Linked DNA regions of Struthio camelus. The protein of the gene in region 3 interacts with the protein of the main gene of each other region in a pairwise test. Links are inferred from orthologs where the notes say so. Each region holds a gene or a part of one and is shown on either strand. Other genes may lie near its edges.

Region 1 (7,836 bases), on a different chromosome or scaffold from region 3:
TTTATTTAAGCTGAGCCAACACGCGTGGCAAGTACCAAAAATTGTAACTCAGATTCCTTATGAACAGAATAGATTTAAATAGCTGGAAAAAAAAAATCAAAAGAGTATTTACTGAGACTTGAAGACGATGGTGACTTTATTATGGCTTCCTTTCTTCTACCAAAAATCACATCATATTATTACGTAATTTACTCTATTGTTACACGTTCCCATTAAACTACTTAGACCCACACTAAAAAAAAAACAAAAAACCCTAGCAAATTAAAACCATGGGCGGATCTACCTGAAGGAAGGGGCAGGAAAGGGAGGAAGAAGCTAAAGGAGCTGTAGCTACTTCTCCCTCACATCCACCCTCAATGGCACAATGCACCCTCATGTCTGTATGAGGCCGGTGTAGCCAACCATCTGTGGAACTTCCCTTCTCTCATTATCAGCATTGCACGTAGCCCCAACACAGTTTTTCAGATTTCTAGAGGGTTTTTTTTTTTAAATACCACTTAGTTGCTTGGAAATTTTTCTGCTATCTTTCATCACAATTTTGGAATAAAACCTGAGAATTTTTCATCTTGCCTCCAAATAATTAGATAAACGCACAACAAATTCCTGCACAGTTTAATATGGTCCAATTGGCAGACACAAGCAGCTTGCCTGCCTACAGCACCATGTGAGGGCTATTTCTCCTGATAGGAATGAAGAGGACGATGGTCCCACTACGTTCTCTTTCACGACTGACAATTCTTTTCACTTTATATTTTATTTTCATACTTCAAAAGAGTATTTTTAAAAGTATACATATCAAAATTCCTCATATAAAGGTTGTACTAAGGGATATTTTGTATATGAAATTAGTTCCAAAACACAGAACTACTTGCTTCCAAAGAATGCAGGAAAACAACTTCTCAGAGTCGCAAGCTCCTCCCTAAAAGGACAGGATCCTGTACCAAGATACGCCATGGCACTAGGCTGTACCCACAGAGTCTCCTCTAGAAAGACTCCTTCCTAGACTAACTCCTTCCAGTAGTTGGTAAGAGCTATTATCTGCTTAACTACTGTGTCTGTTGTCAAACAGGAAAAATCTTAACAAAGCATCCAAAAGATGTGCCTTTCAGCTGCACCAGGAACGCGGGGTCACACAGATGTATATCTGTGAAGCATGAGGTGGGAGCTATTTCAGCAACCCAAACTTCATGCAGAACCAGACAGGTCTCTTGCTCTACGATAGGCCCCTGACTCACAGGGAACTGTAATAACTATTAGAAAGGAATCATGCACTTATCTAGTGAGTGGAATTTCAGACAGGCTGTACTTATTTGGTATCTAGAATCAGTTTTCTCAAGAAGACAGCACTGAGGTAGGCAAGAGACATATTCCTAACTTCCTTAAGAAAAGTGCATGTTCCAGCAAAAACATACAGTCCTGTAAAAGTGTCAAATCTGAAACATCTCAGAGCTGCTGAATTAACTTCTATGGCATAGCTAAAAAAAAAAAAAAGAGAGACAAATTTACAGCCAACCAACCACCTATACTTCAGGCAAACATTAAGAATCAAATATTCTGAAAAGGTTCTCTACTATGAAGTACAGCAACCGACACAGTAAGATACCTCCTTTCTTGTCCTGTGTCGTACAGGTCAAATTCTCAGACTTACCATATCATCACTTTTTTGAACTTCTGCCTGAGCCTTCTGGCTGTCAGGTAGCCCATTCTGCCTTTCTTCTTTTGGGCTGCTGGCCTGACTTTTGTTGGGGATCAAGGCGGACGGTTCATGACCATTCTGGAGTGGCGGAGGAGTAGAAGATGAGGGAGGAGGTAGGCTGGGTTTTGCATCTGCTTCTTCTAGTAATAAACATATCAAATCACCAGAAACAATCCCATATGAAGCCAAGGTCTTCTGGTCTTCTGTGAGAGCATCCTTGTTGTTCAGTGTTATTGAAAACTGCGCGTCATAACTGGAAAGTAATGGAAAAGAAATAAAGTGTGGTTAGCTGCATCTGGGTAACTGAACACAGGTATTGAAATGTAGAATTAGAAATGTATATTGCATACTGCTTAAGTACTGTTCCACAGGTTTTAATCCATTAAAAATTAGCTATACACTTAAAGGAAGAGCAGGGAAAAACTAAGGGTTATGCTATGAAGTGATTCCCTCATTTTTCTCTCCAAGCGTGTTTTAAATAACTGAAGTTGCTTAGTGGGTATAACTTCATCTGCAATAACCGCTCATAAAACAGATATGAAGGAAAGCAAACAGGTGCCTTCCAAATTAAACATATTCAACCTAATAAAACAAGTGTTAAATAAACCACTGACTCAGATCACTTAAAAACAGGACACTATTGCAGATTCAAATCACCTTGCTTTCCGATTAACAAAACATTTGCTTCAAAAGGTCAGCAGCTGCCCTCCAGCATGGCAATTACAGATGTGGGCAGTAAGAAAAGCTGCTTCAGCGCAAGCAATTACAAAAAAATAAAATAAACATGAACGTGGTTAGCATGAAAACCGTTATCAAGTACCAACTACAAAAATATACCCAGCACGGCAGGACGTACAATAACTCCAGCCTACGGTGGTATGCTGTACAGTGCAGTGCCATCGAATGTACGTACTGCCAATGAAACATGAGTTTCATCCTCATACCCGGTGACAGATTTGTGACTACAAACTGTTTCCACGCTACTAGAAAAGGAGTTTCTTCTGTAGGCAGCTCTTCCATTACCTTAACAGGTTTTATCCTCCTATAAACGTTGTCATGAGTTCTTCACACGTAAAAAACCTTTTATGAAGTCTAAACCCAGAGAGCCTCTAAGAAAGCCACAAAACTGTAAAACAGACATCCAGCCGCAACTCTTTGTAACATCAGCGCCACCGAGCAATACAAGCCAGCTCCGGCCGAGCTGCGCCCCGCGTTTCAAGGGCGGGCACGGGCCGAAGCGCGCTGCGCGTGCCGGAGCGACCGTTAACGCTCGGCAACCGAAACGTAACTGAAGTTTCCGTGACCTACCAGCCCTACCAGCCCTGTGCTACCCGGGGAAAACGCAGCTGGAAGGTGTGCCCGAAGGAGGGCAGTGACTTTTACCAAGTGCTCTGTGAGCTTTAGCAGCCTTCGACACGGTCTCGCGAAGTGACTAAAACCCCCGGAGCTGCAGGCCTTTAACCTCACGCCCCCCCACCCCCCGGCAACGTTCAGGCGACGCCGCTGCGCCGCCCTCCCCCGCCGGCTCCTGCCCTAGCGAGGCCCAGCGGGGTCTCCCCACACAGCCCTCCCAAACCCGGCACTCGCGACGGAGCCGGTTACGCAGCACCGGCCGGTCCCGCCGCCCGGCCCGGCCCGGCGTCCCGCTCCCGCCGCCCACAGGGGGCAGCAGCGCCGCCGCTCGCCGGGGCCCTTCCCCTCCCTCTCTCTTCCCCCCTCCCCCCGCGCCGCGTGGTACGGCCCCGCCAGCCCCCCCCTTCCCTTCCCTTCCCCTCCCTTCGGCGATGGTTCGCTCCGCACGTTACCTGTACCCCCAGGCGGGCAGCACGGCCTGGCGCAGCTGCGCGCGCAGCTCCCCCAGCGTTGGCTCCGCCCCCTGCACCTCCAGCGGCGCCGTCCGCTTCTGCAGGCGGACGCGAAGCTTCATGATGATGGCGGCGGCGGGTCTCCGCGCCCGCCTGGCGCTCCGAGCTGGCCCCGCCGGGCGGCGGTGATGGTGGCAGCGGGCGCAAGGGCTGCCGGGGCGTGTCGTTGTTTTGGTTGGCGCGGCGCCGCCCCAGCGCGGAGCCGCCCCGCCCCGGCGGGCCCGAGTTGCGCCGCCCCTCCCCCCCCCCCCCCGCAATCGCGCACCCAAGAGCAGCGCGGCCGATCGATGCCTCAGGCTTCCACGCTGTGCCTGCGCGACGCCATCGGTGATTGGGCGCTCGGGCTGTGCCTGCTGCGCATGCGCCGACGCGGATGTACCCGCCCTTCCTCCTCTCTTTTTTCCGCCTTCGGGGGGGGGGGGGAGGTGAGGGGACCTCTGGTGGTACTGTTGTTTTGGGTTGCTTCTCTGTTGTTATTCCAAGGTTATCCCCTTCCCCGCCTGGAAGGAGTAACGGGAATGATTTCTGCAGATTGGTTGCCTGCCTGTGTGCTGAGTAGTTCGGTTTTGCCTCGCCTCCAATTTTGAGGCCCTTTTAGATATCATTCTAAAAAGGTATTAAGGAGCCTGTTCCTGTTTGGGTATTAAACTCTGTGCAGGCAAAGCTCATGGAAACAGATGATCTAGGGGAAAGGCTGAGGGAGGGCACTGAGTATGACTCTTCCCCCCCTCCCCCCAAGGTACACTGGTGAACTGTCATCGTAGAGGTAATGTATTAGACCTGTAGTCAAATGTTGCTATGTCCTTAGCAAAAATACAAAGTACAGCAAACTTTTCTAATGTTCTATTCTACTTTCATAGTCAGTGCTACTCAAAAAAGGCCTCCCTCCACGCCTTAGATGTAAAAAATAAACTTCTGCTTTTATCTAAAAAAATACTTTTTTCAGAAAGTCTGGTAGGAAAAATGTAAAAGGTGGGCACAGATTATTCAAGTTGTTTACTTTGTTTAATGACTTATATTAATCCTTTAAGGAGAACAAATCCCTTCAGTGTGAGTTCAGAGATAATCTGTGTACAAAAGTTATCTTGTTTTTTGGTGGTTTTGTTTTTTGTTTTTTCCCTTCAGATGCAGTTATGAACACGAAGAAATCTTAGGCCTGTTGAGAGCAGAAACAGGGCATCCATTTATGAAGATACGTTCCTTACATGGAGAGAGGAAAATATGAATGAGGTATAGCAAGCCTAGAATACTCTGTAGGAGTATAATAAAAGAGTAGTGCTAGGTGAAGTGAATTTGAAACAGTCTGTACAGCTGCCACCAAGTACAGCTGCTTATTCTGGTGCTATTTACATTGCATATCTCCAGTATTCATAGGAAAGGCCTCTCTCTCTTGTTTTAGTCCTTCTGGGGACAGGTGCAAACAGGAGAATGAAACTTCACAAAACCTGTTCTGGGCTATGGTTGAAATCTCAGGCTAGTTCTTCTGTCATCTGAACATGGTCATTCAACTGAGGTAAATGTGGCTGTTGCATTTCACTTCAGAGTTTGGTGTCAAATACACCTATGGGCATATTTGGGCAACCATCATCTGTTTTCAATATCTTAAACTTCTCAGGGGAAAGGAGAGGGCGTATGGAAGAAGAAGACAAAAGGAATGACAAAGGCACTTTACGGAAATGGAAAAATACCATTCAGTCAACAATGAAAGAACTGGTGCTTGTGCTCAACCTTGTCTTGCACACCTGGTCCTTTAATGAGAACATTAAAACAAGTTGTTTCATGAGGGGCTTACTGACCCTTTTATGACAGCCCCAATTTGAGAACTACTTATGCAATAGTCATCAAATGGGGCCACACTGTGGACAGATGCCGGAAGGGTGGGTTGCTGTGGCAGAGGGGTGTGTGACTAGAAGGAAGTGGCAAAGGCAGGGACAAAGAAGATAGAAATGAAGAGAATATTTGGGGAGCAGTCAAGAGCACCATGCCTGCCAGAAACTGCATTCCTCTCTCTTGGAGAGGGCTGCATCCAAAATGAGTCATGCTGGTGCCTGAACAGTGGGACAGCTTCCCAGTGGCCACAGGCCTCCTGCTGTGTTTTGCTCTTTAGCGTTGTCTCTGTCCCAGCCACCTCCTGCGTTCCCATTGGCCCCAGGGCTGCTCAGTCCACGTTCTCCTTTAGGAAGGGAGGAGGGGACTCCCCTAGTCTGAGAAACGTTGATGAGTACCGTTGCGATGTTTCCAGCAGAAGCACCATTTAAGTAGCTTGCACAAGCTAAGGTAGTTGTGTGAAGTAAGAAGGTTCAATTCCTCAGGCTCCGGCCATGCTATTCATTATTAGGTAACCAGCTACACCATTTGCAAGTGAGCACTTTTGCTGGCATTTTGCTAAATGTTTTTTTGAATTTCATGAGTCATGCCACAATGCAAGGTTCAGACCTACTCTTCACACAGCAGTATTAAACAGGAAAATCTCCTAAGAAACAATTATGGTAAAAGCCTAAAACATGCTGTACAGCTTTAATGTTTGTCTGTGCCAAATTCAGCTGACCTAGAACCACCATCATCAAGGTGCAAGTACAACCTGCCAATCTCTGCTTCTGAGGTTTGACTGATGGAGTGAAACTATTGACAATGTTTCAGACTCCTCCTCGCAGCCTCAAAAGGCCACAAAAAGGCTTTTGATTGGGATTGATTTCAAGTTGACTGAAATAAAAAAATAATTTAAGCTAAACCAAAAATTACAGTTTGAGGGAGTCAGAAGTACTGCTTTCTTTTTCCTCCCACATCTATCTGAAAGAGCTGATAGTTGGTGTTATTTTCTCCACCTTTTTGAGTTTTGTCTCTTTCTGTAGGCAAGAGAGAGTATGGCCAAGTATGAGCTTGACCTCAGGCTAGGAAAGTCATTGTACCAAGGTAGCACAAGGAACTTGTGTTCTTACAAGCTTGAAGAAATGGTTGTATGCAGAATTTTGACTTTCAGCATGGTATGCCAGTGTCAGATATGATGATTGTATATTCTTCTTTAACAAATTAGACTAAAAAAACAATGTGATAGAAAAAGAAAGTTATTTTCAGCATTCGTATGCAACTTGAAGTAACACAAAATGGTTGTTAAGTATAATATGTTTCCTCAACTCAACATTTTTTACTCAGGGTTTTTTTTCACATGGTCAGTATAAAACACAGGCAATAGAACCCCTTCCACCTAAGTGGTAAAACTGCACCGTTAGCAATAATGTTAAGGTTTTACTTGAGAAATTTGAAACCTGATACAGCTGTAGTCCTGTTGACCTGCAGTCAACTTCCCATGGCAGGGTAAAACTATAAAAAGTAAAGGTCCTTTTGGTTCAATTACTTACCTCATGGAACATATTTTTTTTCTGAAAGCTGAGTACAGTAATAAGGCTGTGAGCCAGTGGATTTTTTCCATTGTTTTTCTTTCTGTATTTGCCACTGTAAAGATCTTGTTTTATAATACATATATATTAAGTACATATATGTGTATGTATATTAACTCTTTTGATACTGATATTTTGAGTGACTAGGGTCACACTGAGAAGTGGTAAAATGAGCAAGAGAAGGGGCTGGAGACTGGAGCATTGTCGGGAAATTTGTGATCTCATGTCACAGAAGTGCGATAGTCTGAAGTACCATTTTGAGCGTGCCACTGGAGGACATTCAAATCAAAGCCAGTGGAAAGGACCTCTTAGCTTCTCGCAGCTTGATAGTGGACAACTTCACTCCTAAAAGGCATTTTAAAGCCCTTCATGCTATTGGTCTATAACTAACACATTTGGTGGAGGTGTGCTTTACAAGCATCTCAGATCAGCGGCCTACATAGGGCCCTTATGCAGTCTGTGGATCTTGTTCACATAGCTCTTGACTGCTTTAATCTACTTCTCATGAAAGTACTTGTTCAAATGGGAGCAAGGGACCTTTCAGTGGGTTTTCTGGGCCTTTTCATACTGCTTCAGGCCTTTTTTGGCCACCACCATATTTTCCTGGATTTATTCAGAGATTGCAGTCTACTTTTTCATAGTAGGAGTAGGCAGCGCGGCCATTGACAGCCCTGTTCTCTTTCCTGTGCCTACAAACACTTCTGACGTACCTTGTTTGGACTCAGTAGCGAGACCCGCTCCCAGGGCTTCTCCTGTTTCTGCAGAGGGTCTCGCAATTGTGTGCATTTCTATGACTCTTCCTTCAGATGGAACTGAAGATGCCGCAATCCAAAGTTCATGGTGAGACATCACAGTTCTGATAGATGGGTTGCCCATG
Region 2 (7,715 bases), on a different chromosome or scaffold from region 3:
GCTCGCATGGGAAACACACCTGCATCTCTGATAAAACGATCAGCTGCAGAATTGTAGAGGTCTCCTGGCAGTCCAACTTTTTGGGTACGTATTATTTATTTGTACGGCATGACTGTCTCGTTGATATAAGAGTGGGGAGGAAGAACAGCCCAAGAAGAAAACCAGAGTCAAGTATAACGCAGCAACGCAAAAGAAATAAAAGGGCCTGGAAAGCAACATCGTTGTGTATGGAAAAAAAAAAGGGGGGGGGGGAAGGTAGAGAGGTCAGCAACGAGGGGCTAGCCCAAAAGATAAAGTTGGGGCTTCAGTGCTGCATGGAGCACAGAGGGCAAGTGAAATCCATAGGCTGCCCGGTGCAGAAAGGGCCAAGGTGAAGGTTGAGACACAACATCAAGAAAGTATAAGCCCCTTTTGTAAGACTAAAAATTACAGAATTTATGCACACCACATTGAATGATCGCTAGCTTTTCTCTACCTTTTCATCCTCAGTAAGGACTTCCAAGATCTGGTAGAAGTGAGTATGTGGAAGCTAGGTACTAAACGACTAACAGATTCTCGGTGCTTAGATGCATTGCTTATGTGTGGTTTCTTCTCTAACATTTCCCTCTGTATATCCAGCAGGTCACAACACCCTTATTTTCTGATCTGTAACTGCTATCTTAAAGTCACCCCATTTCATCCCAGAGTTAGCTACATTTTACTGAAGCAATGGATTTCCTTTGTATATCGTAGTTAAAATAATTTCACCGTGTTGATAAGGTGTCATGAAGTTTTGGGGGACAGAACAAGCACTGTATTCACACACATCAGTAGCAGACCGTGTGTTACAAATAAACAAACCCAGCATACTGTTTTCTCTTTGGTTTCCCTCTTCTGCCTCAGATGTCACAGTCCAGGGGCTGTGAAATCCATCTCAATTTCACAACAGTAAACACTAAACTGTGACATTACTAAATGACTCCAGCAAGAGGCAAAGGCCAATTACAAGCAACAACTATTTATACATAATTATCTTTATAATCAACCACGGCAGGAAAAAAACTATGCAAGAGCAGACTCTGCTAAAATGTCATTTTTATCTTCTCCATTCTCAAAGTACAAAACCCACATTTGCTCTCCAGGATTTGCTTTTGGTCTGCTTTTCTATTTAAATTTCTACAGCCAAATAGAAACCCCAGAAAAATATAAATTACTAATAATTTACTAACACAATTCCAACCAATTTCCCTTTTATAACAAGGTAACTATACCGTTACAAGTGGCAACGGAGCACTTGCAAAATACCAATACATTTTTCAGAGCGCACGCTGTTCTTATTACAGTCCGATCATGACGAAAACAAAACCAAATCTTCAATTTCACTTTTGCTTTTCCACACATTTCCCCCTGCTCCAGCCCAACGCTGCACAAAGTCTGCATTGAAGGTGATTCAGGAGAACATCTGATGCAAAAAAAAACCCAAAACAAACAAGCAAGCAAACAAACAAATAAGAAAAAAACGAAAAAAAAAATAAAAAACACCCTCCAAACCAAACCTATTATTTTTAGGAATGTAACCCCCCCCCCCCCCAATAGGTTTGTCAACATTTGTGCTTATAAGCACTCCAGTAGATTTGGGACGTGTCTGACCAGTTGCTATCCCTCTAGTTTCTAAGAAGTAACGCATGCAGTGCTCAAGACTCTCCTACAATGTTAAAATAATAATTTGTCATTCCCATCAAGCGAGTTTATTTTCGTCTTTCGAATTCTCCGCGTCTCACGCGAGCTTGCCGAACACCTAAGGAAGAAATCGCTCCTCGGCCAGCAAGTATCGAAACTCGCCTCCTTCCCCCCCCCCTTTTATAAGTGTGACATGACACCAAAGTAGTCACCTGCCTTGAACTTGGCATGCAGGACACACACAGCATTTCATGGGAGATATTTCAGCTCAATACTTTAAAAGACAAAAGGGGGGGGAGGGAGGGAAAAGATCTTCAGGCAAATCAATGAGGGCAAAAGACCTAAGCGATAAATACCTAACCTCCCCCCCCCCGAAAAAAAAAGGGGGGGGGGGAAAAGGAAAACCCTAGGGCTGGGAAGTCCACCTGCTAAAATGACTACCAGCCGCTGCCTCTTTTAAAAGGACACGACTGAGAGGGCTGCGCGTCCTCCCCGACATGAATCCCAACCTTTCCTTAGCGATCCCCGCTAAAACATCCTCTTCTCGCCCAGCCGCCGCGCACCGAGCGAACAAGTTGCACGCCAGCAAACCTTCCTCGCCCACGGACAATTAATTAGCCGCGTGGATTTTAATAAAGCCACCCCGATTAGGCTCTTCTTTGAGATAGGCGTGCGGACGCAGTCCAGAGGAGGGTGGGAGAGAGAGAGGGGGGGGGAAAAAAAAGGAAAAGAAAAATCAACAGACACACACACACACGCGCAAGAAATCCACAGGAGTTGAATACTAAAAAGGTCCGTCGCTGCTCAAGTGTCATTATTTTGCTGTTTTCTTCATTTCGCCTTTCTCTTCTCCCTCTCCTCTCCCCCCCCGCCTCCTCCTCCCCCCGGAGGATTTATAATGAAATACGATCCAACTTTATTTGTATAAGATCTCCCGGGGGGGGGGGTAGGAAAAAAAAAAAAAAAACCACCACGTCCACCTTTGGGGTTGCGGTTAAAAAAAAAAATCACCAAAAAAAAAAAAAAAGAAAGGCAAGGTTTTGGGGAGTTCAACCCCGCGATTCGGGAGTTAAATAATAAATAAACGGAGGGAGAGAGAGACATTGCCGAGGGAGAGGGAAGGGAGCACGCACATTTCATAACATCCTGCTCTTCCCCTCCGAAACCCAGCGCCGTTCAGGTTAAAAAAAAAAAAATATAAAAAGTCTTTTTCAGCCACAAACAAACAAAACAAAGGCTCCGCCGCGGGCCCCCCGGCGCTCGTCCCCGAAGCCGCCACTTTACCTTGATTTATCAGTTTAAAGCTTTGGGATTTCCTGCTTCTCTTCCTCTCCGTAAACTCCATGGTGCGGGCAGGAGGGAGGAGGCAGAAAGGAAGGAGAGCGGGGATGAGGAGGGCGAGGGGCGGCCGCGCAGCCCGTCACCCAGCGGCGGCGGCAGCAGGACCAAGGTCCGTCTCTTTAATCAGCAAAAAACAAAACGGGCGCCGGGAGATGTCGGTTCCAGCCGCACGCACCGGCGGGGGGGGGGGGGGGGAAGAGCTCGGGACGAGTCGGCGGCGGCGCCGCCGCTGCCTCCCCGCGGCTCCGGCCGCCCGCCCGCCCGCCCAGGCCGCCCCTGAACTTCGCGGGGTGCCGCGGCGGGGGCGATGCCGGCCAGCGCCGCCGCCGCCGCCGCCTCCCCCGCCGCCGCCGGGCGCGCGGCCGGCGGCCAAGGGCGGCCCGCAATGGCTCACCGCTGCCGCCGGGACCCCGGTGCCACCTGCTGGGGGAAGGCGGCGCGCCCCGCGGCGGGCTCCGCCAGCCCGGCCGCAAGGCCGCCACCCCACGCCACGCCACGCCACGCCGAGGAGGAGACAGCGGCGGCGAGCGCCGCGGGGCCCCCCCCCGCCGGCGAGCAGGGCAGGGCGGGCGGCCCCGCGGCGCCTCCGCGGGGGTGGCGGAGGGTGACTGGCGGGAGAGGGGCTGCCAGGGCAGCGCCATTTTGTGTCCCCCCCCCCTCCCGCCGCCGCTGCCGCCGCCGCCGCCTCCCCGCCCTCACAGGCTCCCTCTGCCGTGCCCCGCCGCCGCGGCTGCAGGTCGCCTGCCCGCCCCGCGGGGCCCCCTCGGGCCGGCGGAGGCCGCCGCGGCGCCCTGCCGCGAAGCAGCGGCGGCCTCTCGGCGCGCGGCCTGCGCCGCCGCCCGGCCCCCGCGGCCTGGCCAGGCGGCGGCGGCGGCGGCTCCCGCCGGCTCCCCGCTGCGCCCCGGCCTCCCGCACGGGCCGCTTCGGGCGGGCAGAGCCGGAGCCGGAGTCGGAGCCGCGCAAGTTGGCGGCGCAAACCGAGCGCGCCCGGGGAGGGGGCTAAGCGGCGGCGAAATGAACGCCGGTGACGGCGTTTCGGCGTCGTCGTTCGAGCTCGGTGCCGGCTGACGTGGCCTGGCACGGTCTCTCGTGGGGACCTGGAGCGGACCCCGACCCCGGCCGGGGCTCGCGGGGCGGCTCTCCTCCCGGGGGCAGCTTTCACACAAGGCGGTTAAACACCGACCTAAAGCGGGGAGTCTCTGCTGACCGAGTAACGTTTAGTACCTCTGGCCACCGTCTAGGAGGTCCACCGTGGCCGTACAGACGCCCGTAAGCGGTTTGAAGTTAGTGCTTTACTTTACTCCCCGCTTGGCACCTTCAGCTGTATTTCAGATTCACTTATTTCACTTACGTTGGTGCTAAATTTGTTTCTGTTGTAGGTTCTCTACAGCCAGCAGCGCCTATGGCCGTTGCTGCTAGAGGAAGGCTCCGGATAACCTAAAGCTCAGGTGCAAACATAACTTTGTGTTTTAAACATAGTCAGGCTGGGCTATGACAAGGAGAAGAGTGTGGGATATCCGCACGCGCTTACTTGAACAGAAGTTAAGTGCGTATTTGTACATGGTCTAATCAAAGCCCATAGGAAAATGCCGCTGGCTTTGGTATTACTGCCTGAGCCCATCGCTAGGAATAAGGAAATAAAATTCGTAAGTAGAAAATAAATTGCCTATTAACAGTAATTATTTGTATCAATATAGACTCCAGTCAGACCTGAATTCTCTTGGGCGAGGTGGTGCCCAAACACCCAGCAGAAAGTAGACCCGGTTCCAAAAAAGCAACCAGGAAATAGGCTTAATGGTGAAGCGATCTCAGAAAACATGCCTAATGGTAAAATTTATTAGACCCAGGAAAATTAAATTCATAAGGGAGGTTATGGAAACCTCATAGATTGGGTAAGGGTGTAATTTTCTATTAAATTGCTGAGTGGAAAATCCCAGAGGCAATCAATACGCTACTTTTGGAATTTTTCTAAACTTCACTGTAAGACTTTTATAAGGAAACTGGGCTAACATACTATTTAAAATCCTACATTATATATTTTTGGGTGGTTGCTGAAGCAGCAAAGGTAGGTAGATGTCATACACTGTTTGCTAAATTATTTGGGTCCAGTTAATCTCTGCTATGATACAGAGAAGTCAGGTCTGAAATGCAACAGTAGCGTGCATTAGTTTTGTGTACAAAAAAAAGTATTTACATTTTTTTGCCAAAGAGTCTGCTGATTCTAATCTGCTAATTTTATTTACGAGACTTGAAACTGCTGAAACTGTTGTGTTTAACTGTCATCCTTATTGGGACAATAGGATAATTTTATAAAGCATAAGGCCTTCATTTACTGTTCAATTCACATGATAGGCTTTATCCTGCATTTGCCAAAGAAATGTGCTACAAAAATAAAAAAATCTTTTCTGTTTTCCTCCTGTTATTTGATTTTGTAAAACATTTTGGGATATAATTTATGAAAAAAAAAAAAAGTGAGGCCAGTGTTTCATTAACTGCTCTCTTCTTTCTCTTAGTTCTTCCTTCCTAGTCGTATATTTTTTGCTTAAAGGGACACTCATGGTTTGAGAATGGCATTTCAGGCTGAAAACAGTACATACTGTCGTTTCAAGAAACATTTTACAAGGGTTAGCACATCCTTTTTTTATCAGTATCGCTCATTTTGCTTCTTGTGCATTTGACAAAAGAGAGAGATTCACTCTTTTCATTCTATAGGATGAGCCTGATCCTGCAAAGAAAACTTAGTGTGGTAGCTCAGATGAGTAAATCCTGTGATTTTCATTTCTGACAGTATTTGCCAGTTTGGATACCTAGGCCCTGATCCTGTAATCTCATCTGCATAAAAGTGAATTAGAAACTAGGACAAGGTGACTTTAGGTCAAAGTCTTCTAGTTATCCATAGAGCATGTAGGAGGATCTGGCAGCTGAAAAACAACCTTTCCATCCTGAACTGCTAATGTTTTTCAGCCATGACTTAGAAAAAGTACTTCAAGAATTCAAAGGTTCATATAGTCCCCAGAGACAGTAAGTTGCGAGCCTCTTTTTGGGGGTGCGTTGGGGTTAGTGTCCTACAACTGGACTCATATCATCTGCTCGTTTATCACAGGCCACCATCACATTATTCTAGCTGGAGACCCAGAGATAAAAGTCGTCTTTATTCCATTAGAATGGCTGCCTTGTTTCATCCTGCATATTCAATAGCTACGTCTCCGTGGCAGCCAAATGACTTATGATAAAGTACACTGGCTCCAAAGGGCAGTCAGCTTTTAATTTCGTCTTTTATTTCAGTTAATGTCTCAATATTGGATTGTTATTATTATTATATATTAAGAAACGACAGTTCCTTTTTTTTTTTTCTGATGGAAACATGGAAAATTCACAGCATTTTGTATATATTCATGAATAGCCACAAAGTATTCCCTCAATGAAAACATTAATTAAATAATGTGTTTTTCAAAACACCATGAAATTAACTAACTAAATGGACGCCTTATCTTGCAATATATTCCAAGTCTGCATGATTATCCCTGACTATTTTCTAGTTACTGTTTTATTATGTCATAAGTTACTTTGAAAATCATTTCCCCCCTGCTTCTAACCAACATTAATTTCTCAGATAATTTTCTGGTGTGTAAAATGCTTAGTTTATTTCAGGTGCTAGATCAGTAGCTAAACAATTAAATATAATTAATCTAGTAATACAAGCAAATTACAAGTATTAATGAGAACAGTGCTCTTCACATCAGGAAGTCTCAGACTCCTTTTCTTTGCTCCCAGGCTTATCCTCAAAATGGCTGGGTTGAGTTAGTTACAATATTTTAATTGTTATTAGGAAGGTAGGATAGTGTAGGACAAACAAGAGGGACGAATCCTAGAGCTGAGAAGAATGGTATGGGGGAATTATGAACTTCTTCAGCTTTCAATTGGAAAAACTGTACTTAAAGAAGTCTTACAAACTTCGTGATTTCAGGTATTAGGTCTAATACGTCAAGGAATCCACGTGAGGTTAGGAGAAGCAAGAAGGGGCTACCAACTGTCATATTAATAGCTCTAGGATTACTACTCATTTTGGAGGTTGAAGGAGTTCTGTGTGGTATTAGAAAGCAGGAGAAGGGTGAAGGGGTAAAGGAGAGATCAAGAGTTGCATAGGTGATGGGTTAATATGTTAGCTATTTCGGCTAGTTATGTTTAATGAATGTAGCTGAGGGTTTTATAAGCTGTGGTAACAATTTTTTCTCTTGTAGGTTTCCCATGGTGTTTTTGTGGTCACACAAAATACATAGGCAGTACCTTTTGTCGGCTCCCAATTTGATGATAGGTCACTTTGATGCCATACTGTCTTACTGCAAACTTTCCTTTTCGTAGAGCTTTCATGCTGACATATCTGGGGACTGGCTCATTACAGAGGTAGGGTTCTGGGCGTTACGAAGTAGTCTGAAGCTTAGACGTGCAGTTTAACTTGTTTTCTGGTCTTCCTTAAGTTCTTCCTTGAGTCCTTCCATTCCAGTCACAGCACTTGACACCCTGTTACACCTCTATCCTTTCTTTCTTTTTCCTTTGGGAAACTTGAAATGGCCTCTTCCGCCTGTTCTGCTGGTTTGTTAACCTTCCTCATATAAACTGAAAAGAAAAAGCTACAGGATGGATCAATGTTTTCATCTGTTTTCCAGCTCAGGGTTACTCATCAAAACTTCCCATAGCTGTTTCAACAATAAAGA
Region 3 (7,089 bases):
TCTCGGGATGCACAAGCAACGGGGCTCGCCTGCTTTCTGCCCACATCACTGTGCAGTGCCTGAATTCCCCAGAGCGCACAAACTCCAGTGCCAGCCAGGCTCTCCCTACTGGCTACCCCAGTCTGGGCCGTAAAGGGTCAAAGACAGAAATCCTGTGGTGCAGCCTGGGGCCATGGCACAAGGCAAAGAATCCCTGGGCAGATGCTCAGTGGGGACAGGGCAAACGATCTAGAAATACATCCTGACCTGATAAAGGGACACAAAAGGGGCAGCTACTGGGCCAGAGCGTGCAAAGCAAACCGCCTCCCTGTGCTGATGCAGTCACATGTGCTACCGCACGGGCAGGTTTGCAGGCTATAACTTATTGCTTTACAGCCAGAGTCTGCCCCATGCAAACTCCACAGTCGGGACAAATGAGGAACAAATGCTGCTTCAAGGTCTAACAAGTAGAAGCAAAACATTTTAAAAATGGGCCCTGCTGTTCTTTGCACCCAGGGCATTTTGGATGAACGTGACCGCTGCACCTGGAGGGCCACAATGCCGGCAAGGACCAGCCCTGATGCTCACCATGACATTGAGGATCATGCTGTCTTCCACCATGATCGCCTTCAGCAGCAGCTCACGGGAATCATCCGTGGACTTGTACCGCAGTGTGTACAGCTCCTTGTTGGCCTGCCAGCCGGTTGGCAGCAATTCTGACTTCCTTTCATCGGGACCTGGCTACAGGAAGACAGATAGGCTGCTGAGACCCTGACCACCAGACCAAATTGCTGCAGGGCCAAGAAAACTTGTCCTGGCTGTGTGGAGAGATCTGGGAGGAGATCCACATCTCCTGCAGGGATCTGTCCCTGCCTTCCAGAGTTCGACAGCAGGAGCAGGGCCCAACTGCCCCACGGGACCCCTGGGCTGCAACGGGAGGGACACAACCACCCTTTGCCAGCTAGGAAGACGCAGAGGAGGGGACGATGTTCTTCGCTGACCAACACCTCTCGGCCCCCCCCAGCGTGGGACAGAGCTGCCCAGGGAACTGTTGCCCCGTTTGTGCCAGCCCCAGGGCGGTCACTGCCGGGGGGCATTGCTGCGGGCTGCCCCCTCCCCAGCACCCAGGTGTTTCTTGGCTGGGACAGCACCCTGCACCCCAACCACTGCCTATCCCCAGTCCCGCACCAGTCAGGGGCTTGGACCCCCCCCTCCCAGCACCACACCAGCCCCCCAACCCAGAGACCCCACCGCACTGCAGACTCCTCTTGGGAGCACTGCACTGGGACCCCCCCAGCACCAGGACCTCCCCCCCAGCACCAGGAACCTCCAGCACTGGAGACCCCTCCACCCCGAGCACCAGGACCCTCGAGCACCAGGTCTCTCTGCACACCGGGACCCCCCCCCAGCACCAGGACCCCCCCCAGCACCAGGAGCTCCTCCCGAGCATGGGGACCCCCCAAGCACTGGGATCCCCCCCGAGCACCAGGACCCTCGAGCACCTCCCGAGCGTGGGGACTCCCCCAGCACCAGGATCCCCCCAGCACTGGGTCTCTCTGCACACCAGGACTCCCCCCAGCACTAGAGCCCCCCCTTCAGCACTGGGTCCCTCCGATCACCGGGATCCCCCCGCAGCACCGGGACCCTACGAACACCGGGCCCTCCCCCAACACCTAGACCCCCCCGCCCGGGAGCATCGGGACCCGGGAGCATCGGGTCTCTCTCCACACCGGGCCCTCCCTCCAGCACTGGGACCCCCACCTCGGACCACCGGGATGCCCCCCCGAGCACCGGGACCCCCCCTGCGGAGCACCGAGATCCCCGCCAGCACCAGGTCCAACCCTCCCCGGCACCGGGACCCCCCCCCTCGAGCACCGAGATCCCCCCCAGCACCGGGTCCAACCCCCCCCCAGCACCGGGACCCCCCCCCCCCAGCACCGGGTCCACCCCCTCCCCCCCTAACACCGGGACCCTCCCCCGGAGCACCGAGATCCCCCCCAGCACCGGGTCCAACCCCCCCCCCAGCACCGAGACCCCCCCCGAGCACCGAGATCCCCCCCAGCACCGGGTCCAACCCCCCCACAGCACTGGGACCCCCCCCCCGAGCACCGAGATCCCCCCCAGCACCGGGTCCAACCCCCCCCAGCACCGGGACCCCCCCCCCGAGCACCGAGATCCCCCCCAGCACCGGGTCCAACCCCCCCCAGCACCGAGACCCCCCCCCCGAGCACCGAGACCCCCCCCCAGCACCGGGTCCAACCCCCCCCCAGCACCGGGACCCCCCCCCCGAGCACCGGGACCCCCCCGCCCCCGAGCACCGAGATCCCCCCCAGCACCGGGTCCAACCCCCCCCAGCACCGGGACCCCCCCCCAGCACCGGGTCCAACCCCCCCCCCTAGCACCGGGACCCCCCCTGAGCACCGAGATCCCCACCAGCACCGGGTCCAACCCCCCCCCCCAGCACCGGGACCCCCCCCCCGAGCACCGAGATCCCCCCCAGCACCGGGTCCAACCCCCCCCCCAGCACCGGGACCCCCCCCCCCGAGCACCGAGATCCCCCCCAGCACCGGGTCCAACCCCCCCCCGATCACCGAGATCCCCCCCAGCACCGGGTCCCTCGAGGATCGGGTCTCTCCCCACACCGGGCCCCCCCTCCAGCACTAGGCCCCCCCCCGGACCAGCGGGACCCCCCCCCGGACCAGCGGGACCCCCCCCCCGGACGGCCCGCGGCCGCGCAGGGCGGCGCAGGCCCCGGCAGGCCCCGGGCGCGGCGGCGGCGAGCGGCGCTGGGAAAGGCCGGGGCCGGCGGGGCCTGCGCGGCGGCCGGGCCGGGCCGGGCCGGGCCGGGCCGGGCGGTACCTGGTCGCCGGCGCCGAGGCAGCGGTAGCCGTGCCGCACCAGCTCCCAGTGGATGCCGCAGAGCAGCGCGTCCTGCGGGCGGGAGATGGCGGCCCGCGCCCAGGCGTAGAGCGGCTCCAGCCCGGCCATGGCGCCGCCCGCAGCCAGCAGCCGCCGGGCCCGCGGCAGCGACCGGCCCGGCCGGGCGGGGCGGGGCCAGCAGCGGGGAGCCCGGGGGGCCGGGCCGGGCCGCGCTATGGGGCCAGGCGGGGCCGAGGGGCCGGGCCGGGCCGCGCTATGGGGCCAGGCGGGGCCGAGGGGCCGGGCTGCGCTGCGCTGCGCTGTGGGCCCGGACGGGGCCGAGGGGCCGGGCTGCGCTATGGGGTCAGACGGGGGCGGGGGCCCGGGCCTGGGGGGCCGGGCTGCGCTGCGCTATGGGGCCAGGCGGGGCCGAGGGGCCGGGCTGGGGGGCCGGGCTGGGCTACACTATGGGGCCGGACGAGGCCTAGGGGCTGGGCCTGGGGGGCCGGGCTGGGCCAGGGGGCTGGGCTATGGGGCTGAGTTTGGCCATGGGGCTGAGCTGGGCCAGGGGGCTGGGCTGTGGGGCCAGGCCGGGGCTGTGGGGCTGAGTTTGGCCATGGGGCTGGGCTGGGCCAGGGGGCTGGGCTGTGGGGCCAGGCCGGGGCTGTGGGGCTGAGTTTGGCCATGGGGCTGGGCTGGGCCAGGGGGCTGGGCTGTGGGGCCAGGCCGGGGCTGTGGGGCTGAGTTTGGCCATGGGGCTGGGCTGGGCTGGGCTGTGGGGCTGGGCTGTGGGGCCAGGCTGGGCTGTGGGGCTGAGCTGGGCCAGGAGGCTGGGCTGTGGGGCCAGGCTGCGCTATGGGGCTAGGCTGGGCTGTGCGGCCAGGCTGGGCCAGGCTTGGCTATGGGGCTGAGCTGGGCCGAGGGGCTGGGCTGGGCTGGGGGGCTGGACTGTAGGGCCAGGCTGGGCTGTGGGGCCGAGCTGGGCCGGGGGGGCCAGGCTGGGCTGTGGGGTCTAGGCTTACTTGTGGGGCTATGCTGTAGGGCTGAGCTGGGGTGTGGGGTTGGGCTCAGTTTTGGGGCCAGGCTGTGGGCTCCCGGGTCAGGTGTGGGGCCAGGCTTTGGGGCTGGACTGTGGGTGCCCAGCCCGTGGCCTGGCCCCCCGCAGTTGGGGGGGGGCAGCCGGCAGCCCCCCCCCCCCAGCCAGGTCCCGGCGTTGGGGCGGGGGCCACAGAAGCTCCCCAGTGCGGGTGGGGGGGGGGGCAGCCCCCGGATGGAGCCCCGCACGGGCGCCTGCGGGGAGCTCGGGGCGCCCCGGCCTCGGCACAGCCTTTCGGGGCCCCCCGGGAGCAGCCGTCGCTCCGGCGGGGAGACGCGCACTCGCTAGAGGGCCCTCGTCCCTCGCGCAAAACCTCGGGTGGCTCCGGCCGTCGGCAGCGCTGGGGAGCCTGCTGCCCCCCGAGGGGCCGGGCTCCCCCCGTCCCGTCCCGTCCCGTCCCCGGGGCGGCCCGCGTCGGGGCCGGTTTCCCAACCGGGCGTTACGTGGGGCTTCCTGCCGTGGCCGCCGCGGGGCCGGCAGCGCGCGGATCCCTGCCAGAGCCTCGCCGCGGGGCCCGTCTGATAACTCCCGTCCGTCCCCCACGTCTCTCTTGCTACCTGCCCGTTGGCGCAGAAACCCCTTCGGCATCCTTTACCTGCCGCTCCGCGGGGCTGCTCCGACGTCCTCCCTCGGTAGCTCCGCCGGCGGCACATCGTTTGATACGATTTATTTTTCTCGGCGCCTTTCCTTGCCACTGGTTTCTGCTGTGCAGGATTGACCTGTTTTCCCTCGTCTCCTCGGAGCGTTAAAGGGGAACCAAAGAGTTTCTTGAAAGAAAATGTAACCACCCAGCCGAGGGCAGGGCGGGCCGTATCTGCCGGGGCTGGGAGGGACATCGTGTTCCACCTGCAACGCAGGGAAGAATATAATATTGCTGCCGCATCAGGTTTTCTAGTGACCTGCCAGGATATGACCGGCGATGCAGCTCCAGTCCTTCCGCTCCAGTGAATTGGGGTTATCTGCAGCCCGGGGCTGATGCGTTCCCTCTTTGACATCACAAGGCTTGTTTTTTTATTCTGAGACATTTAGTACTTCTTCATGTACAAGAAAAATCTGTATGTGTGGGACTCATCTGCGTGCACACTTGCTCCCTTGTGGCTGCGGATCTGGAGACTGCGTATGTGGAAGGGCTCGCTCAGTAATTTCCCCGTGCCATCACCCCAGCTTGGCTGTGCAGCGTGGTCGCGGGGTCTCCAAAGCGGCCTCGCGTTCCAGCCGTGCGCCTGGGAGTCTCGCTTGGTTGAGATCTGCCTGCTTCCCCGTGCTTTCCTGCAGCCCAGGCTCTTCCTAACCAAGCGTCAGCCCGTGACCAAAGCATTTGCTGGAAAGTTAAGAAAAAGACAAAAGAATAGTGCCGTATGCATTCAAATGCCCTCTTATATTTGGTGTTTGCTCCGGCTTCCCTGAGGCACCTGTCCCGGGGGGAACAAAAGGCTGAACTGCTATTACCAGGGTTATTTCCATTCCTTCCCCAGCTCCTCTCTCTGGGCCACGTTATTTACAACACTTCAGTTCTTGTTAAAGTTGCCATTGAAACGTAGTCAGGGACTTATTTTTTCTGAACTGATTGTGGATCCGAGGCGGTTTTCTCTGTGGCTCCTCTGCCCAGCATGAGGCCAGGAGCTGCCACCACTGCTGGGACCCTATCGATGCCAGTGGCAGGATGTGAGGCTGGAGCAATCCCTTGGATGAAGCAGCCCAGTGCTGGGGAAAGCCGTGATCTGCTGCTGAGCAGCAGCTGAGCTCCAACTCCTTTGGGATGCTCTGACTCATCTTGACTTCATTATGCATTTATTAATTAACGCACAGGCCACTCTTTCCATTTCCCTCTCAAGAAGTCATTGAAGCAGAACAATTGACCGCAGACCGTAGGGCCTTCCTCGCAAGGAGCTCCTTGAGCGTTGCCCTTCACATGAGTCATCTCCCCGGTGGCTGCGGAAACATTACACCTCTTGCTAATCTCACCCGTCAGTGCTGGCTCCGCGGAAGAGGGACAGGGCTTGGGAGCCAAGTGTGAAATTCTGCTCGTGTGGAAATCAGTAGGAAAGTTGCCACTGATTTCAACAGGGCCCGGGTTTCATCGCATGTGTGCAGGACTCCAGACCTTCCTGGTAGCTTCTTTGCTCGTGTGTAAGCAGGCAGCGGAGCGTGGCCAACATGCCGTGTTTCTTGGGTGGGAAGGTGGGCGGGAGTCCCGCAGCAGTAGGCTGCGTACAGCCTGGGGACGTGGCACGGCCGTCAGCCCCGCAGCCCCTCGCCGGGCACCGCTGCCGGGGAAGGTGCGGCAGGAAGGAGGCGATGCCGGGAGGCTCCCGCTCCGCTTGGGAAACCGCTGGGTCAGGATCGCTGGTGCGACGAGGGGACGGAGGGCAACCTGTCCCGAGACCTCGGTGGCCTCAATGGGAGATGGGCACCCAGACAGCACTTGGATAGGTGCAGAGCCAGGGCCGGTGCAAATAGCCGCAGAGATGCCAGCGAGGTGGAGCAGGTCTCACTGGGCGCAGGGCTGGCGGGGGACTCGGGGCTCCCCCGCGCGTTGGACAGGGCGAAAGCCCTCCCGTGGGGTGGCTTGGGCAATGTAGCCTACGGAGATGTCTGCTTAGTAAAAGAAGCATCTGATCAGGGTTCAATGATAATGGCAGGAAATGCCTGAGCCGGAGCCTTTCCAGTACTGGGCTCGTGATTCACAACAGGCAGAATTTCCGTCCGCCCATCCCGTGGCTCATTTCTGATGGGCAGCAGTGGTGGTTTGCAGGCTTTAATGGCATCCACATTTCTCTTTTCAGGCACAGCCTTCCCCTGTGTGCCGAGTGGTGTACCAGATGCCCCCCGCCCCCCCCCCGACTCCTGGTGGCTTCGTTCGAGTGTCCTCTCCTGAGGCGGAAATCATGAGTCTTTCCTCCAGAAAGCTGATCCTCAATCCTGGCCCATCTTATCACAGAACTGAAAATGCACCATGCAAGCTAGAGACCCGCCTGGGCACAGCTGGAGTGGTTAGCGGGGATTCACCCTCGCCTGCTGGAAGGTCCACGAGTGTGCGAATAATTAGGAACTGCAAATTCTAGGAAATAGCGGTCCCTGAGTGAGAAGACAGGGCACAGGAGTTTGTACACAAAGTTATGCGAAGTGCTTATCGAGCTTGAGTTTTTCCATCC
Region 4 (8,017 bases), on a different chromosome or scaffold from region 3:
ACAGGCCTGTAGCTCCCTGGCTCCTCCTTCTTGCCCTTTTTGAAGACTGGCGTGACATTGGCTTTCTTCCAGTCCTCAGGCACCTCTCCTGATCTCCAGGACCTTTCCAAGATGATGGAGAGTGGCCTAGCGATAACATCCGCCAGCTCCCTCAGCACTCGTGGGTGCATCCCATCGGGGCCCATGGATTTATGGATGTCAGTTTGGAAATACCAGAAGAACTCCTAGGAATTAGTTGTTGTTAATGTTATTCTAGTATACTGAAACTACAAAAAGGGCTGTGGCAAAATCCTAATGACAACAGGCAAAAGATACAAGAAAGATGCAATCTAAAACTCAGTCACAGTTAATAGAAAACTGTTTGTAAGTGATTCATGTTGGTTGCATCTAAGAAGAGAGAAGTAGCAAACTCTCTCCAGAGTTAGTGGTTAAAGCAATTAAAAAAATTTCTTCCTATAAGAGCTGAAAATCATAATGAAGATGATGACTAAGACTGGCAGAAATCTAGAGTAATTGGGAAGGGAAGAAAGAACATGATACTGGCATCACAGTTTGGATGATATCACGGATGATGTTTTTCACAACATGAAAAACTGTCATTTACTTATTCTACTGTAGTAGTTTAGATCTGCCACAGCAACACACTATAGGTTGATACTTAATAGGCAGAAGCTAGAGTAGCTCTTGAATAATATGAAGTTATGCTTATTAGAAAGGAGCTGTGGATACTATGAATTTTGTTTTTTTCGTTACTGATAGAGCCGCACAGGAACAGTTGAAACTCACGAGAAAACGTTGTGGAACAATCTTGATAAACCTTTGCCTTCTTCAGCACTGACTTTATAATGTGATATACAAAAGCACAACTTAAAAGAAGCATATGATCCTCACAAAAAAAAAAAAACAAAAAAAAACAAGCAACCAATCAACAACTTGCTTGGCATATCTTCTGCACAATACCATGGAAAAAGGTGCAAAAGAAGTGGAAGACTTGGATGAACAGGTGCATGTGACACTATGGCATGTTACAGTGGCTATAAATAAGGTGGCAATGAGTTTAAGTGTCTGAAAGAATGTTCTTTTTTCTACCTGTATTAGCCTAATACATGATATTTTCTTCCTGCAAACCTTGTTCTCTCAGAAATAAATATTTCTCTTAGAAATACATTTAAAGAAATAAAAAAAAATAAATTTAAAGAAAGGGTGAATGAAATATGAAAGCAATGTAAGAAATCTTTTAAAAGAAATGGCATCAGCATGGCTGCTACTGGAACAATATTCATTTGGGGATGAAAATAGCCTTAACTTTGAACTATGGGGCAAATGCTTGTAAAAGAAAAAGCCATGCTATTTGGAAGAAAGCATCAGGAGCTTCTGAAAAAGGATGCCTGGACATAACGGAAAACTCTTGACTATTTCTTCATACTTTAACACACGTGCAAATAAAAAAAAAAAGAAAAAAAGAAAAAGGTCAGGAATAACAGCGAAAGAAGAGCAATGATAATTTCAATATGCCTAATAGAAATTGGCAAGTGATATATTGGAATACTAAGGAAGCCAGCATCTACTTAGCAACATGCTAATCAGAACTATGGTGAGTCACATCAAGGACACATTCACTAGATGTGGTATTTGTGACAAACTCTTTCCCAAAATAGACTCGGCTTCTATAGGTCTTCAGCTGTATGCATTTTAATGAGCCAAAGTCTCAGATAAATAACTGTTCTGTTTCTCTTATAGTCTTTAAATTGAGACCAAGTAAATCGGAGGTAAAAAAACACAATAAACCCCTGCAGAGTCTAAATGGTCAGTGGCAGCTCGGTATGATCAATGAACACAGGCCACAGCAAATAAAAGCGTGAGCTGAGAGTAAGTTTGGAAAAACAATACTTAGGTGTAGTTACAGTATTAGGAACAAAGACTTTATGACTAAATACTGCTTATAATGCTGCCCCAGCAAATAAGGAAAATAGAATTGCCAAAAGTTATGGAGAACCTCCTACCTACCAGAGGGAAGGTGCAGCTCAGTTACAGCCTCTTCAAGCAGTCTTCAGCTGTCCCCTTACTTGTGTCAACCGGTCCAGGAAGTAAGGAGGTTAAATCTCACCCCAGAGAGTGAAGGTATGAAAAGGTCTTAAAACTTCTATTAAATATTAAATGTTTCTAAATATTAAATAATTAAATAATTCCAAATGTTAATTTTGGTCCTGGTGCTTTAAGAGAAGTAATGGACATTACAACTCACAGTGGTTCCTAACTGATATCTACCTACTGAAATAAATTCCTGAAAATAGCATGTGTGTATTAGCAACAGAGTGCACGTGTGCGTAAAAAACAACAAACTAGTTTATTGCTAGGGAGTAAGTCATGAGTTTTGAAAGTTTGGACTCATGGCTCTTAAAATTGTGTTACTAGTAAAGCTACTATTTACTGGGCAGTTCCTTGATCAAGCAACTTTTTCAAGTTTTGTATAGATTTCGCTAACAAGAAAGCAACCAATCCTTAAAGAGTTGGTGCTTCCTGCTTTTCCTGGACAGCAACGACGATGCTTAGTGGACTTTTCCCAGATCACCACACCATAGGCAGCTTTCTACAGCCTGTTGCTCACAATTTCCCATTTTTTCTGTTCATTTCTTGTTTTATTATATCCCAGTGAATTTCAATGGAGAAAATACTCTACTAGTTAAGTGCAGGCATGGGTTTGAGCAATAGGATATAACGTCCATAACTTTGTAATTGCTACATTATTATATATCTGGTGAGAAATGAGTCTTCCAGACTTCCAGTAAGCCTTTCTATATCTATACTTTCTATATAAATCAGAGGGAACTGGTATACTTTGGGAAGAAATACTGTGGTTTCTTGAAACAGCAAATGTTTATTCAATCAGTTACCAGGGAGAATAAATCTTTTTGCAAGAAAGGTGCATTATGTTTTATACCATATAATATAGCTACCTTTCTGATTGAGTTCCTGTATGCTGTAGAGGGACTTTAAATACCTTTTTAGCTTTACTGGTGAAGGTAGGGATTATTTTCCTCCAGGTCACTCAATAAAGATTAGCCTCCTACACATTGTTCTGTGGTAAAGTTGTATGTGTCTGACTTTTTCACAACAGATGGCTGCATTTCAGTAGTTGTGTATAAGCTGTATAAGGAAGGATGAAATAAAACCTGCATTGTAATCCAACTTTTCCCAGTAGCTTGTTTTATTCATATCCTCAAGTTTGATGTCACGCAGGAGAACTTAAAAAAATGTAAATTTGTTTGTGGTTATTAGTGCTGGGACAGATATATTTGGAGGGGTTGTATATGGAATGTAAATCAATTATTTCATATTGCAACATAACAGATATTGTTTTATATTTTTTATCTTTCTGTTTTATGGGTAAAAGACCGCATGCAGTTCTGGGAAGGGAGCCTTAACTTTGCTTGTTAAGTTCTGAGTGAGTGATTTCTCATGCCAGTCTTTTTTCAGAGCTTTTCTCCTCCCCATCTTGCATGGATGTAACTGAGATATATTGAAAACTTTTTTGGCATTAAGTATAATAATAAATATGACATTATTTTATTACCACAAGTTAAGAATCTTTTTAGTGGTCTTTTAACTGTACCTCATCACTGGAGAGTTCCCTATTGATTTCTCCAATAAACGTTGATTAAAAACGTTACTCTAGCCTTACGATTTTGGCTTTAGCGCTTTACTAATTTTCTGTCTCTCCCTCGGGCTTTTGTCACCAAGGGTTCATTGATGAAACTCCTGAGGTCAAATAAGGAAGCTGTGCAAAGCCTCGAAGCTAAAGCTGAACGTGAGTAATGATCTAATATACTAAGTGTATCCTCTGAAAAATATCTAGGAAAAAAAAAACGCTTGAGCACAATCCCGAGCTTTGCTTCTCCTACCTGTAAAACGGGCTGTTTGCAGCCAGCGTGGCGGCAGCGGAGAGGGCGCGGGCGGGGGAGCGGGTTTCACACCCAGCAGGGCTCGCGGGAAACGGCAGCTCCTCCAGCTCCATCAGGTTGCCACTTCGCAAACCCGCTTCGCGGTGGTCATAACTGAGCAGAAATAAGATTATTTGGCTCATACTTATGAAGTGCTTTATACTACCAGAGAGGAAAGGACAAAATACTGGCTCAATAGTGATTTCGGGGGGGGGGGGGGGGAGAGTTAAAACAGGCTGTTGTTTCTCCTTTGGGAACAAATCTTCCCCCCGGGGCCTCCCCCCCCCCCCCCCGGTAGGTGGTACGGGGGCACAGCCCGGCCGCGGCCTTGCTGCCCCAGCTCGGGGGGCGGCCCGGAGGGGGGGGGGGGGGGAGAAGGCACAAGGTCCCCGCCGCTTTGTCCCTTCGCCTCGTTGCTCACCCGCAGACGGCGGCGGACGAGCGCCCACAGACGCCGAAACGAGTTCGCCGTTATCAGGTTGCATGTTTTATTCATCGGCGGCGCGCGGTTTTAACGGACGCTGCGGGAGGGGCACAGCGCCGGCCCTTCTCTCGGGGGAAGAGGGGGGAAGGAGATGAGCGGCTGAGAGGGTCATGAAAGCGCGCAGCTTTAATGAGAGAGCCCTGCCCTGCGGTCGGCCCGTCCTCGCTGCGTCCCCTCAGGGCACCGCCGCCCCGGCCGCTGCTCGTGAGGCGACGCCGCTCGCAGCCCGCGCGGCGCGACCGCCCCCCCTTCCCCCAACACCCGCGGGGGGGGGGGGAGAGCGAAGCGCACCCACCAATCCCAATCTGCGGTGGGCCGCTGACTGACAACCCAAATCACCCAATAGGAGGCGCCGGCTGAGTAGGCGGGGCCATTAGCGAAGGAGGCTGGGCCAGCACCACCCATTGGGAGGGGCTGGAGGGCGGGGGCAGTGGGGCAGGGGAGGGGGCGGGGCTTAACAGGCAGGAGGGCGGGGCTGAAGGGCGGCAAGGGGGCGGGGCTTGTCCTGGGGTATATAAACCTGGCGCCGAGGGGTTCGCCCGTTCAGTCGGCGCGGCGCCGCGGTGTGAGCGGTTTGTCGGCTGGCTGCTTTTTTTTTTTTTTTTTTTCCCCCCCCTCGTTCTTCCCCTTTTTCTTCTGAGCGCGCGTGTGAGGGGGAGGAGGGGCTGAGCGGCTTTCGGGGCCCCGTTGTGCCTCCGCGGAGGGATTTACCCGCGGCCGGAGCGAAGGGGGAGGAGGGTTGGAGGTGGGGGGCGTCCCCCGGCCTGCGCCCCCATCGCCTGCCCGCTCTGGGCCGGGGGCTGGCGGCGCTTCCCTCTGGCTGCGTCCCCGCCGCGGCGGGCGGGAGGCGGCCGGGGGGGAGCGTTGCCTCGAAGGATTTATCGCCGCTTGGGACCCGGCCCCGCGTCGCTGCCGGCTGCCCCGTTGGGTTCGCCGCCATGGACGAGAAGTACCTGCCCGAGCTGATGGCGGAGAAGGACTCCCTCGACCCGTCCTTCACCCACGCGCTGCGCCTCGTCAGCCAAGGTGAGCGCGGGGGAGGGGGGGGCGCCCGCCCTTCGCCTCCCCTCCCCCCCGCCGCCCCTCAGGGGGCCGCGCGCGGGCTGCGCCCCGCTCCCCCCCCCCCCCACGCGCGGAGCCTCCGCGGAGCCGCTCGCCCTCGGGCAGGGGTTTTGGAGCGGCGGAGTGCGGGGCTTAGTGGCGGCGGTTCGCTTTGTACCACCTGGCTCTCTTCCCCCCTCCTCCCCCCCCCCGCTTTGTTTTTTCTTCTTTTTCACTTTTTTCTTTCTTTTTTTTTTTTTTTTGCGGGGCGCTGGCGCCGCGCGAGGGGCAGCGCATCTCGCGTGACCCGGAGCGTTGCCTTTATGGAGGGAGGAGGCTTCGCGGGCTGCTGCTCCGGCAGAAGGAGCACCTCGCCCCTGCCCGCCCGCCTGCAAGCGGTGGGAAATGTAGCACTGAAGCCTCCCGCATCTCCAGCCTTCCCGTGCTGCTTGAAAGGTTGCTTTTACGCTAGCAAACGCGTGGTTTTCACTGAAACTGTCCCAAATTGGGTGGTTGCATGTGGAGAATTGCTTTAGTCCTCTGCACTAGGCTATTCATTCTCCCACCCTGCTCCATTTTCTCCTATTCATAAGACTTTTCCCCTCCCTAAAATGTTTCTGGGTAGATCGATATTGTTTGTAAGCAATAGATTATTGTTTCTATATGCCTCAATATTTTTTTTTTTGAAAGGAGTTTGCAGACTAAGCCTTTTCCTAGAAACTTGTGACCCTAATATATTAAGGAATCAAAACCACATCTTGCTGAATCTTTTCAATACCTAACACATGTTTGCTTTGCGATTATAAAACTTCATATATTCAGAAATGATTTCTCTGCATCCCCCCCAAGATATTTCACTTTGAAACGTTTGATGTATCGTTTCACTGAAGTACTAGCTCTTTGTTTAAATGACACTTTACTGGATATAAAACTCGTTTCCTGTGATTCACGTGATGTGGCTTAATGTAAATTTGGTGCATTGTATGGAAGACAGGTGACTTTGGAATGCAAGTCTTCTATGAAATCAAACACTTGAGACACTTTGGAACAGTCAAATAAAACAAGTTATGAACTGATCCTGTAACTTAAAATGACAGCCCCGATGACTCTGGCTTCTATTACTTGGAGTGATTGCAAAGCTGCGCTAGTGAACTTTACTTCATAATAGCTTAGAGCTGTTCCAGTTGTGCGATTTCTTTGCCTTGATTGACATAGCTTTTTGTGTAATGGACTACAAAATGTCAATCTCAATCTGAGGGAGAGTCGACTGTTTTCTGAAATATTCTGTGTTTGCAGGTAGCTGTCAGTTTTAGCTGTGAAATGCATGTGCCTGGTGGTCTGTAGCTGCATGTCCTTGGACTTGGTATTCTGCATATTTTTCCCTAACTTACCAGTCTTAAGCAATGGATTGGTTTTAAAAAAAAAAAGAAAACCCATTGTTCATACTGGCATTTTTGACAGAGTGGCACTATTGATAGTGTTGGAGGGGAAGTATTAGCAAGTAGTTTTGTGTTGTGTGCTGTAAATAAACTTGTTTAACATTTTTAGCTTGATGGCTGAGATTTTTATGGTTATAAATTAGTGAAGTTCCTCCGCAAATAGTGAAGGAAGGATTATTTTAGATTTCTGTGTGTGTAAATTATTTTAAGGAAGTTACAAAAGCATGTGAATTCTTATTTTACAGTTAGTCTTTATGAAAGAGTATGCATGATTGTACATCTAATGTTTCTTGGGACTCTGATAGCTTTTTGGAGTACATTGAAACAAGTGATATTAGAGGGCAGAAATATAAAACTTCTGGCTTTTTCTAAAATCATGTAATACTTGGTGTCTTAATGTATACTTTCAGCTCCAAAAATAAGTGGTGCATTCAGTGAAAAAAATATAGACAAATACATGGATGCAACCTTGTTGTTCTAGTGTCTGGATTTTTTGCTTGCTTTGAAAGTGCAGTCTTATGTTAAGATCTGATTTGAGTATTACAGCTATTAGGGACAAGTAACTAAAAGTAAAGCTCAGTAGTCTGTTACCTGTAGTATACAATGCAGATTTGTGTAGTCCTTGTGTATAACTGTGTTAGACAGTTGTGCAGTCACCAGGGAGCCAAATGAGGTGAGACATCTGTATAATAAAGTAGGAAATGTAACACTTAAAAAAACCCCGTGTTTTACAAACCCATCTCATTCCATCATGACACTAACTTTAGAAGTGTCTGGTTCATTATTTTGCTGTAATTGTAAGTAACTATTATTAGGAATGCAACTGTAACTACTGACTTGTACTTTTTAAGTCGGATCCCCCCCCCCCCCCAAGTGTTCTCTCCCCTTTCTAGAGTAGTTCATATGAAATGACTGGTATAATATTTTTAAGTTAAAGTTGCGTTAATTTTTCAGTTTAGAATGGAATGGGTGTTTTTTTCAATTTTGTCTTCACCCAGGTATTTGTGCGAATGTCTTTACAACAGGTTTTAAGTGCTTAAAATAACCAGCTTAATTATGTAATAGTTTTTTGACTTCTGGCTGTCTTAATAGTATTACACTTATTGTTTACA

The links.
Region 1: the proteins of PSMF1 (region 3) and FBXO7 interact in binary tests that used the Homo sapiens proteins (3 or more experiments, as listed by UniProt). The link is inferred for Struthio camelus from reciprocal best matches to the Homo sapiens genes PSMF1 and FBXO7.
Region 2: the proteins of PSMF1 (region 3) and BEND7 interact in a two-hybrid assay, tested with the Homo sapiens proteins (2 studies listed by BioGRID and IntAct). The two-hybrid records come from large-scale screens. The link is inferred for Struthio camelus from reciprocal best matches to the Homo sapiens genes PSMF1 and BEND7.
Region 4: the proteins of PSMF1 (region 3) and KHDRBS3 interact in a two-hybrid assay, tested with the Homo sapiens proteins (2 studies listed by BioGRID and IntAct). The link is inferred for Struthio camelus from reciprocal best matches to the Homo sapiens genes PSMF1 and KHDRBS3.

The regions. Positions count from the first base shown.
Region 1 is NC_090942.1:61,036,926-61,044,761, forward strand, and holds the start of FBXO7 (F-box only protein 7), read right to left. Parts: upstream 3,031-7,836; 5' UTR 2,717-3,030; coding exon 2,553-2,716; intron 1,950-2,552; coding exon 1,649-1,949; intron 1-1,648. UniProt on the Homo sapiens protein: Substrate recognition component of a SCF (SKP1-CUL1-F-box protein) E3 ubiquitin-protein ligase complex which mediates the ubiquitination and subsequent proteasomal degradation of target proteins and plays a role in several biological processes such as cell cycle, cell proliferation, or maintenance of chromosome stability.
Region 2 is NC_090942.1:7,978,855-7,986,569, forward strand, and holds the start of BEND7 (BEN domain-containing protein 7), read right to left. Parts: upstream 3,243-7,715; 5' UTR 3,005-3,242; coding exon 2,944-3,004; intron 1-2,943.
Region 3 is NC_090959.1:18,290,858-18,297,946, forward strand, and holds the start of PSMF1 (proteasome inhibitor PI31 subunit), read right to left. Parts: upstream 3,044-7,089; 5' UTR 2,968-3,043; coding exon 2,839-2,967; intron 721-2,838; coding exon 568-720; intron 1-567. UniProt on the Homo sapiens protein: Plays an important role in control of proteasome function. Inhibits the hydrolysis of protein and peptide substrates by the 20S proteasome. Also inhibits the activation of the proteasome by the proteasome regulatory proteins PA700 and PA28.
Region 4 is NC_090943.1:165,592,722-165,600,738, forward strand, and holds the start of KHDRBS3 (KH domain-containing, RNA-binding, signal transduction-associated protein 3), read left to right. Parts: upstream 1-4,965; 5' UTR 4,966-5,363; coding exon 5,364-5,451; intron 5,452-8,017. UniProt on the Homo sapiens protein: RNA-binding protein that plays a role in the regulation of alternative splicing and influences mRNA splice site selection and exon inclusion. Binds preferentially to the 5'-[AU]UAAA-3' motif in vitro.